2 linked regions of the Drosophila melanogaster genome follow. The protein of the gene in region 1 interacts with the protein of each later gene in a pairwise test. Each region holds a gene or a part of one and is shown in the gene's direction. Other genes may lie near its edges.

Evidence for each region. Proteins that work in one complex are often made in the same cells at the same time.
Region 2: the proteins of pck (region 1) and mRpS17 interact in a two-hybrid assay, tested with the Drosophila melanogaster proteins (one large-scale study listed by BioGRID).

The regions. Positions count from the first base shown.
Region 1 is NC_004354.4:1,467,759-1,473,689, forward strand, and holds pck (pickel), read left to right. Parts: upstream 1-2,907; 5' UTR 2,908-3,037; intron 3,038-3,089; exon of another isoform or gene 3,090-3,109; 5' UTR 3,110-3,226; coding exon 3,227-3,305; intron 3,306-3,381; coding exon 3,382-3,590; coding exon of another isoform or gene 3,591-3,649; coding exon 3,650-3,845; intron 3,846-3,899; coding exon 3,900-4,186; 3' UTR 4,187-4,567; downstream 4,568-5,931. Other genes in the region: CG14777 (uncharacterized protein), read left to right, coding at 53-206, 294-427, 493-624, 689-859; CG32808 (uncharacterized protein), read right to left, coding at 972-1,340, 1,403-1,888; CG14778 (uncharacterized protein), read left to right, coding at 2,060-2,195, 2,257-2,339, 2,399-2,581, 2,644-2,802; CG14780 (uncharacterized protein), read left to right, coding at 4,808-5,058, 5,118-5,412, 5,478-5,840.
Region 2 is NT_033778.4:24,171,818-24,176,888, reverse strand, and holds mRpS17 (mitochondrial ribosomal protein S17), read left to right. Parts: upstream 1-2,447; 5' UTR 2,448-2,521; coding exon 2,522-2,629; intron 2,630-2,693; coding exon 2,694-3,053; 3' UTR 3,054-3,224; downstream 3,225-5,071. Other genes in the region: Nop60B (nucleolar protein at 60B), read right to left, coding at 58-462, 698-972, 1,165-1,416, 1,493-1,861, 1,922-1,934; CG3328 (uncharacterized protein), read right to left, coding at 3,493-3,573, 3,634-3,853, 4,051-4,562, 4,618-5,071.

The DNA.
Region 1 (5,931 bases):
CTAAGACCCGCCCGTTACCCTTCTCCATGTCTCCTTCCGGGCAGCATAAGTGATGGTGCCTGCGGCCGTCAAGCTGTTGCAGGCCTCGCTGGGCCAGTGGCGTCGAGGGAGCAAGCTGCATCCCATGGCCAAGGGCGCGCTCACGTACGCGGTCATGTGGCCGGCGGGCAGCCTGATCCAGCAGGCTATGGAGGGACGCAAGCTGCGTAAGTAATTAATCCGCACCAATCGCATCCATAACCGTTTCCTGCTCTTCATCCGCAACCTCTTTCCTCGCTGACGACGATCCGCAGGCGAGTACGACTGGGCCAGGGCGTTACGTTTCAGCTTGTTTGGAGCTCTGTACGTGGCGCCCACTCTGTACGGCTGGGTGCGGCTCACCAGCGCCATGTGGCCGCAGACTAATCTGCGCACGGGCATCGTTAAGGTAAGGACTCAGACTCAATCCGGCTCCTCAGTCGCAGCGGACCAAGCTCAACCGCCTCTTTGCAGGCCATCACGGAACAGCTTTCCTACGGACCATTCGCTTGCGTAAGCTTTTTCATGGGAATGAGCTTGCTGGAGCTGAAGACCTTTAGTCAGGCCGTGGAAGAGACGAAGGAGAAGGCGGCGCCCACGTACAAGGTATGGCCTATCCCGTTGCTTGCTGCTCCCCTCGCTAACATCCAACTCATTACTAACCCTCCAGGTCGGCGTATGCATCTGGCCTATCCTGCAGACCATTAACTTCTCGCTGGTGCCGGAACACAACCGCGTGGTGTTTGTAAGCATTTGCAGCCTGATGTGGACCATTTTCCTGGCGTACATGAAGACGCACCACGAGGAGCAGTCGAACTCCGCGGTTCTGCCTTGTACATAGTTACCTGAGTCGTATTTGTTACCTTTTGTGACTCCCAATTGTTAGGCCAATTGTTGAATTAGATAGCGGTAGCGTATGTTAATCCGTATTTTAATGGGGCCTGTTAAATCCATTAGCTGCTTAGGCTAGGCGGGGATCGTCCCACAATCAGCTGGCCCACCCAAAGCGACGACGGGGGCGAATAGCTATTTACCGTCTCTACAATCCAGTCCACGTAGGCCGACACCTCGGTGAAGACGCCCGGAAACGGTGGCCGTGCACAGGGCTTTATGCTCCAAGAAACAATGCCCACCTGGGTGTCGGAGCCAATAAGAAGCAGCGGGCCTCCGGAGTCGCCGCTGCACTGGCCTTTTCCACCTTCGGGCAATCCCGCACAGATCTGGCTGTCGTGCAGATAGGTCTGATGGCGCTCGCTGCACTCGGTATCGCTGAACACTTGCAGTTTGACCTTCTGCAGATGCTGCTGGACCACGCCGCCCGTCTACAATTGAAAGGTTCAGTCGATAGTCAAGGAGTCTGAAGGAGGAATGGCTTCTCTCTTACCGCATTTAATCCCCAGCCCGCGAGGACAGCACTGGCGTTTCCGGGCGTGACTTGTCGAGGCTCCGGCAGACGCACCGGCTGGACAAACTTGCTCAAAGCGACGGACTGCGCTAACTGCAACAATGCGATGTCGTTGACGTACTTGTCCTCCGGCTCGTACCCTGGATGGACGAAGATGGCGGCCACGCGGGCCACCTGGCTGGAGTTTCGCGCCAGCATCTGGCTGCCGTACTGCAGGTCGAGCTGCTCTGGCGAGGAGCCTCGCACGCAGTGGGCGGCTGTCAGGACCCAGTACGGGTTGAGCAGCGTAGCGCCGCAGGAGTGACGTCCGCTCTTCGCGCGTCGCAGCGAGACCACAAAGGGAAACTCCCCCGGGCCAGCTGTAGTGCCGTTGACGATTTTTCCATCCTCGCCAGAGGCTCCTGCCAGAAGGAAGGTTGCCGTGTAGAAAAGTGCGAGCCTTGCTAGCCAAGCCATGACGGCCATCTATGTGCACGGTTCACAGGTAGAGCAGGGCAATTTATGGAATATTGGGGCCCGCATTCGCTTGTGGGTTTTATGTGGGTAGAGCTGGCCATGCAGTTGTGGGCCTGAAGTATTAGCCATGCTAATGAGATGCCAACCGCGCGATTGTGACTCCGCAGGGCCGAGATTGCGATGGCGGGCCCACTTTTGTGGCAAAACTTCAAGGTGTTCGTCACCCGCTACCCGATTATGCGCGGCATGATATCGTACAGCCTGATCTGGCCCACGGGCAGCCTCATCCAGCAAACGGTTGAGGGCAGGCGCTGGGGTGAGTCGGCATTCTTTCGAGCAGCTCTCAGCTCCTTATCCTTCTCGTCTTCATCTTACAGGCACCTACGACTGGTGGCGCGTGCTCCGGTTCAGCATGTACGGTGGTCTGTTTGTTGCTCCTACCCTCTACGGATGGGTCAAGGTTAGTGACCGTTTACATGGCTGCTGTTTAGGTCTACTCCTATTCCGATTGCTCCTCAGATTTCCAGCGCCATGTGGCCGCAGACATCGTTGAGGACGGGCGTCATTAAGGCGGCGGTGGAGACGATCTCGTACACCCCCGGCGCGATGACCTGCTTCTACTTTATCATGAGCCTCCTGGAGTCCAAGACGGTGGAGCAGGCGGTAGCCGAGGTCGGCAAGAAATTCCTGCCCACGTACAAGGTACTCTTTTGGGATTCGAGGGAGAACTGCCGCCTAACCCACCAATTCCATCGCTCTTGCAGGTGGCTCTGTCCGTATGGCCACTGGTGGCCACCATCAACTTCACCCTGATCCCCGAGCGCAACCGGGTGCCATTCATCAGCGCGTGCAGCCTGTGCTGGACCTGCTTCTTGGCCTACATGAAGCACCTGGAGCACCACGAGGTGGACGGGGCCATTTGATGGACATGATCGTATTTCTCAAACAGCATTAAATAAAATAGTAATTATTGAACGAAATGAATGGAATTAAAAACCAAGAACGGTATTCTGCACTAAGTACTGGTCACACTGGGCTCACCTAGGGGTGAAAAAATATCGATTGTGCATGGGTTTGTTTTATATTTAAACAGCATTTTGCAAAATAGCCCCTCTTTCCGAAGATCAACAAGCCTAAAGTAATAAATTTAATAAAAAGGTATTTTGAAATAATTCGCGGTATATCGACCGAGCCCCACCACATTTCTTATCGACACTGTCCCATCGCTAGCCCCACCTAGTTGTTGCTGCATTTTTTGGGTGTGTGCGTTGTATTTGTTTACTGACAATCCCCAGAAAAGAAACTCCTCTGCTCCAACTGCGATCCCTCGAGACCCAGGACAGCAGCATGCGCGAACTTAACAAGCAGCAGTCGCAGGACACCACGGACTCGGGCGTCGAAAAGGGCGACTATCCGCGGGCCACCAGTAAGTGACGCACTCAAGCATGCGGGCCGATCTGCATTTGCATCCAAATACTTTCAATGCCCAATTCCCTTTCCAGATGGCGTGGTCTTCGGCGCCATAGTTACATTCGCCAGCTTTTTCGTGCTGATGATGTCCTTTTGCTCGCCGTACTGGATCGAGTCCTACGAGGAGACGCGGGCCAGCTTCAAGAACATGGGCCTGTGGCAGTACTGCTTTAAGGACTTCGTGTACCCCAAGTACGCGTTCTTGAAGCAGTTCACCGGTTGCCACAACATCTTCTCGCACGTGAGTACAGCAAACTGGCCGGTTCTTATCCTTGTCCTGATCTTCTCCCACTCGTACAGGAGTATTACGTTATCCGTGAGTATCTGCTGCCCGGCTGGCTCATGGCGGTGCAGGGCTTCGTGACCATGTCCTTCATCATCGTGTTCCTTGTGCTGGCCCTGCTCTCGCTTACCATCATCCGACTGCCTCTTAAGGCCGTTCTGCAGTACGAGTGGCTGCTCGTCCGCCTCTCCTACATGGGCACCGCCATCTCGTGTATGTATCTGCCTCCCGCCCAATAAGTACTAGCTAAACAGCGGTCTCCCACAGCTCTGTTCATGTTTTTGGCCGTATGCATCTTCGGGGGCTGCGCCTACCGCCGCGACTGGATGATGTACCCCAAGTTCAACGTGCTGGGCTGGTCCTACGCCCTGGCCGTTGTCACCTTCATGCTCCTTGGTCTAGCCGCTCTGATCCTGCAGCGCGAGGCCCGGCAAGCCTACGACGCCCGCGGCGAGCAGAAGAACCTGGTAATGCAAATGGAGATGCAGGAGCCGGGTTACCAGCCGCCGCGCCACCACCACAGCCAGTCGCGGAGCCTGCAGGGCTACATATAACAGCTGTCCGCCCGACTTCCATACATTCCGTTCCGATTGGATCTTAGCTTAAGTTTTCAGACGCAATCTCGTGCCTCGAATCTGCGCAATCGACGCCGTCCATAGTGCCTTTAACAATCGACCATATGTATCTATATACACGCCGACTCAGCCGAGATCAGCTCGTATCCGTTTGTAATTGTATTAAATAGCACGTACAGCTAAACGTAAGATCAGTGCGACCAAAAAGATCCACTAACTTTTTACACATCTACCATTATACTTTTTATATAGGCTCAAAAATGTTTACAGCTTAAATTTTTAGACCATATTCCACCTTTTATAAGCAAACTGGTGTAGAGACATATCAACATTGAATTAAATGTATTATTTGAACTTGCGAAGCTAAACGTACTGATCAGATTGATCATCTCCGCCCTGGTTTCCCCATCATGACCCCCAGCTACATGTTCCTGGTGATGAGGTGCGGATGTGATCTACACCTAATATGTTTATGTTTGCCTTATCGAACTGATAGCGCCTCCGCTGATTGCCAATTGTTAGTTTGGGCTGCTGGCTCCCAGACTCGACCCCTCGATTCAGTGAGTTTCGTGCGCTCTGTTTCTTCTCATCTGATCTGCGATGACTCAGTTTGGCCTGCACGGCTGCAGCTACATTCTGTTCTGGTTCCTTCTCGCCTGCGCGGCGGCGGACCTTCAGGAGAATCAGCAGTCGCGCATCATCAATGGAAGCGTGGCCAAGGCGGACGAGACGCGCCACCTGGTCTCCATCCGCCTTCTCCGCCACGACAACAACTTTGGAAGCGGCCACATCTGCGGCGGGGCGCTAATCGCGCCCAGAAAGGTTCTGACCGCAGCGCACTGCCTGTACAAGTAAGTAGTGATCCCACCATGGGGTGCCCGCTCCCTTTTGATCGAACTCATGCCAGCAGCAATCAGAGAAAGCGCTTTCGGCGGGCCAGCGAATTCGTAGTGGTTCTGGGCACGCTGAACCGCTTCGAGCACCGCAATGGCACCATCGTGTCCCAGGTGAGTTCCATGGCCTACATGCACACCTTCAGCCCGGACAGCATGCGCGACGACGTGGGCATCCTTTTTCTGCGCACCGGGCTGCCGATGTCTCCAGGCGGTGGTGTCCATCTCACAGTGGCCCCCATCCAGCTGGCGGGCCAGATCACGCCCCCCGGCAAGCTGTGCCAGGTGGCCGGCTGGGGTCGAACCGAGCAGGTGAGTCGGATTTGTAGAGCCGTAGGCAAGCCATTGAGCCCGCAGCTTATCTGACTCTTTCCCAGAGCTCCCTCTCCAACATCCTGCTGACGGCCAACGTGAGCACCATCCGGCACCAGACCTGCCGCATGATCTACAGGTCCGGCCTGCTGCCCGGGATGATGTGCGCAGGACGCCTGCAGGGCGGCACCGATTCTTGTCAAGGCGACTCCGGCGGACCGTTGGTGCACGAGGGCCGTCTGGTGGGTGTGGTCTCCTGGGGCTACGGATGCGCAGAGCCGGGACTGCCGGGAGTCTACGTGGACGTGGAGTACTACCGCCAGTGGATAGAGGGACGCAGCGGGGCTCCCCATTCCAGGCTGGCTACCGGACTGTTCCTACTCCTGCTCCTGCCCCTGCTGATGCGGTGCTCGGGGTCGTGGCTATAGCCACCATTTCGGCATCCATGCCAGTGCTTTAGTCTATGTAGTAACTATGTTCTAAACAAAATATTCATAATACACATTCACGTACAATGTA
Region 2 (5,071 bases), on another chromosome or scaffold:
AGGAACACAATTATTTAGCAAGTGAATACCATGTTAAACTCATTTTCAATAACATACTTTGCTGGGTTCACTGGAGCCATTTGTGGGGGAGACTTCTTGAGCTGCTGGCTTCTTGGCATTGTAGTCGACATAACCGGTCAGCCACTCCTTAGGTGTGTTTTCATTGGGCCTTCCGAACTTGTCTAGCTTGCCGGCGGCAATGAGCGCCTTCTTGGCCGACGCCTTTGGTCCCAATCCCCACTTGCGCGGGTATGTGTCTCGCTCCATGATCACTCGCTTGATCTTGGCCACCACACCATGGTCACAAGAGGCCATAGTGGCTGTGGTCATGAGGGCGATGGCCAGGCAAATGGCCTCACCCTTGGTGGTGCAAATGACGATCTCCTGATCGATTTCAATGCCATCCTCGTAGCGCAGGACACCGGGCAATGTAATCTTGGCACCATAGCAAACGGCGTTGACCTGGAGAAAGATTGATGGTTGTTAGTTGATATCATAAGGGGGTCCTTTGCTAGAGGAAATGTCGACCGAATATTCTTTGTCGAGCGCGCAGGATAAGAGCGCTGCCCAACATACACACATCAGCAGCTTTGCTGTTCCCAATCATAGTCACAGGTGCCCGTGGGGATTGCAGGCACCTGCCGGCTTAATATCATGGGGTACTACTTCGCAAACGGCAACTGGATGTCAAACTTACCGAACTGTCCTTCATAATAATGCGCTTGTGGTTGACCAGCAGACCTTCTAGCGGCTTGATCACACGTCGCAGCATAGACTCGTCCTTGTGGTTTTCGTACAGCCACATGGCGTCCAAAACATCGTGCATGGTCACCATACCATCGCGCTCAGACTGAATGCCCGAGCGGACACGGCGGAGCTCCAGCATCTGGCCACCGACACCCAGTACGAGACCAAGATGGACGCACATGGTACGGATGTAGGAGCCGGCCTCGCAACTAACCCAAAAAACACCTGAGCACGTGAGTGGGCAGAATTGGAGGAGAGAAAAAGACGAGGTTTTAACAATTACATTGTGCATTTGCTGTGTTAGGCAAATACTGGTGTTTCACTGGCTGAAGCAGGCTGCACCTCTGCAGGATAAACTAATCCAGCAGCGACGCACCAACTCTGAGCGAGAATGGATAAACAAAACTTCTGACTTACCCATATTTCGGGTTTCATCGTAGTCCAACAGCTTGCTGTCGTAGACAGTACGAACGCGCAACTGACGCTTTACGGCGGAGATGAGTGGAGGTCTCTGGAAGAGGGCACCACGCAGCTTCTCCAGGCCCTGACGCACCTTGGCCACCGACTCCACGGCTCCGTGCAGCTTGAAGATGGCCACGTACTCCTTGCCGGCGCTCTGCTGGGACTTCACCAGACGGGTGGCCCTGTCAATACAAACAATCAGGCAACCTGTAGGAAAAAAAAACACGCGGCACACAATGAGGTTAGGTTTGTATGGCGGTAGGCGAGCACGCGCTTCACTTACCCGTGACTTTGGGATCCAGCGTGCCGGAGTGGCCTGTCTTCTCCACCTTGAGGATTTTCTTGATCCAGGCCACCACCTCGTGGGAGCTGGGGTTCGACGGCTTGTCCAGGTTGATGAAGCCAGTCTTCATGTACTCTTTGATGTCGCGGTTCAGGGGCGACGATCCGTGCGCCAGCGGAGTGTAGTGGTTGGAACGGATGTTCAACTTGTCGAAGTTCTTCAGGAGCAGCGGCCATTGCGAGGTGTCCAGCTCGGCGATCTTGGAGGAGGGCTTGATTTGGAAGTTGCCCTGCTTCTGCAGCGTGCCAATGTCATCGCCGTCCAAGGGCTCCTCCTTGATCTTCTTCTTTTTCTTCTCCTTGCGTACTTCTGCGGGCGCATAGTCCGTTTATTTGGGCACTCTTTTAATTCATCACTTGCCAGACTTACCCACGTCGGCCATTTTATCTACGTTTTCTGCTAAATCAACTAATAGACGGAGAGAAACCTCCGCACGTGTTGCGCGCTGCGAGAAAATGGACGAAAAACACGTGGAGTGCGCGGTCTATCGATAAGTGTGACTACACAGAAATGTATTTCATGAAGACATCGATACATAAATGGAAATCTTGCGATATGTCATCGTGAGCCGAATTCCTTATTACAATTTTGAATTAAAAATATGTATTATTCATAAACAAAATGAATTTAAAGGTATTTACTTTGACGTAAACATTTTTAATCCATTAAAGCATTATTTAATTGAAAAGATATGTTATGTAAAACTGATACACTGTTTATAGTACGGTGAAAATGTTATGTCCTTAGAATCCACTTGTTTTTGCGATGAAAAGTCATACTACCCTACTTTTTAACTGACGCGTGCAAGCTGATTGCATTTGGCGGGATTTTGAAAATCAGAAACTGCTGAGTAAAAAATATCGAAATATTGATAGTTCCAGGCCCAATCGATACTATCGCCAGTGATCTACCAGCTGTGTTTCCCAACCGGTTGTTTATTTTTCTAAACTCTTAAATTAAATTAAAGTAATGTCGAGGCGAGGACTCCTACTAATGGGCCAGTGCATGCCCTGCATCAAGCAGAACGCCTCCAAGATCCGCATTCGCCGAATGGAGCTGGACAAGAACCTGAATATGGTGTGCATAATATACATTAGATCTCGCCTCAGGAGATTTCACACAATTTCCCTTCTGCTCGCAGTACTTTAAGAAGGACGAGTTCTACTTCGCCCACGATCCGCAGAAGGTGTGCAAGACCGGGGACGTGGTCCTGATACGGGAACTGCCAGAGCGCCTCACCCGCCTCATCACGCACAACGTGGAAAAAGTGGTCTATCCGCTGGGTGACATAACGGACCCGCTCACTGGCAAGAAGGTGGTCGTGGGCAATTACCGCGAGGACATCGAGATGGCCAACCAGCTGTTCGGCAAGTCAGAGAAGGCCTTCGACTACGAGAAGGCACCGCCCCGCGGTCGCCTGGAGGGAACCAAGGACTTCACCCACGGGGAAACATACATCAAGTACCACGAGGATGGCAAGGATCAGCCGTTCGCCGTTTAGAGCTCTGCCGGTCGTTTATCTGTTAAGTTTCCCCTTTGTTTAATAGTAAAGTGCATTAATATGACGTACATATGTTTCTCGGTTTTCTTATAAAATGGTTAGGCCGACGAAAGAAGATATTTTTATAGGTTTTTGATTGCTTGAATTGAATTAAAAAGGCAGGTTTAAAAGATTTCTCTACATATTTTATTTTAATGGTCGATAGTTGTTTTTTTTTTTTTGCATTTATTGATGATTTGTTGTGTATACGTATAAATGTATGCATTTTCAACTTCCTCTCGCTGATCAACAGTTTTTGATTATTTAATTTTTGAATTTTCCTAATTCAAACGATTTTTCCGCGCCAGGTGCCAGGACACATCCGCAACACCGAAACGTGCTGCACACGCACATGGTTTTAGAGTTCAGATTCGGTCCGTGCCATAAATTAAGCTGAATACTAATCACAATCTCTTACGATCCTAAAGTTGTACTGGAGTATGGGGTTTGCCGGGTGAGCGTTGTCGTCGCACAGTTTTTGCTGCAACGAAAAGGAGGCTAGAGTCGCTGGATTTCGCGTTAATGCGTCCGGATAACGCACCTGCTCCAGGTCGTGGCTGGCGCGGAGCATAAACTCCCGTAGGAAGTAGCCGCGGGCGGGAAGATCCAGGGCCAGGCTCAGTTTGTTCTTGCCCTGCTGCTTGAGGATCTTCACCCCGCTGGTGGACTCGGCCTCGTCATCCTCGTTCAGCTGGCCGTTGGCACTCGGCTTGGCCTGATCCTCGTCGACGCAGATGGACCACTGCAGCGGCTTGTTGGAGCTGTTGGATATAGATGGTAATAAAATAAGTGATTGTAAAGAATTCATTAGGAGTCAATGGAACTTTGAATGGGTTCAAGGGCAGTATGATTTTGTATGTAAACACATACTGCATTTGTATCTTTAAGATACTTTAAGATCTTACCGAATTCGAATACATTTGTTACAGAATAATGAAATAAAGTGTACCCAACTAACCTCAGATGGAGCTCCAGACTACTGGCCTGCAGATAGCGCGATACCGGAACCACATAGCTGACATTGAGGGAACTGCCCGAGGTGGGACAGAACTGCTCCACGTCAATGGTGTGGTTGTACTGGGCCGCTAGGACGCAACTGGCCACACTCCAGCAATCCAGCTGGAAGGGCGGCAGCACGGACTCGTCGGCCTTCGGCCCCTGATCCTGCCCAGAGGCGGATTGCAGAAGGCGGTAGACGGGATCGTCCTTGGCTGCGACCACCGGTTCGGTCTGCTTCTTGGTCAGGGCGTCGGTGCCGTGTGAGCTCTTGCCCAGGAATCCCGGCTGGGCCTCCAGCGCGGCGGAGGTCTCATTGCCTATTGAGACAGCGGGTTGGGTCTCAACGATGTCCGGATCATGTTCCTGCTCCTCCGCCGACTGCAGATCGTCCTCCACGTGCTGCTCCTTCACATTGGCATCCACATTGTCTGGCTGAGGATGAGTCGGCGGCAGTTCCTCGAAGCAAACGGACTGGACAGGATGTAGAATAAGTACCTGGATGCGCATCACTCTAGCTGAAGCTTACCTGACAATTGTCGCTAACCGACTCATCCCCATTGCACTCCGCTGGCTGTCCAAAGATGGCCGTTTTGATGTCCTTCTGTCTGATCCACTCCAGACTCCGCTGATTGGCAGACCGCCTGCCCAGATTGGACTCCCGCAAGCCCGACTCCTGGTACTCGAATCCGAACACCTGGGTGATGGGATTGTCCACGGACTCGTTGGTGTTGCTCAGGTTCTGTAGGTCCAGAGCATCGGGATTGTCGCTGCTGTTTCTCACGGGAAGAGCCGGGGGCGGCACATCCAGAGCGTGTGTTAGTGGACTCTGGGCGGGCTCAGTGCTCACCTTGTTGGTGGTCAGAGCCAGATTGGCCGTTGGGGGCGATACGGTCTTGTAAACGTGGGTGTAGACGGTTCCAGGATTGAATTTGCGAATGGGATGAGCGGCGACGGATGGTGAGTTGGAATCGTAGGCATCG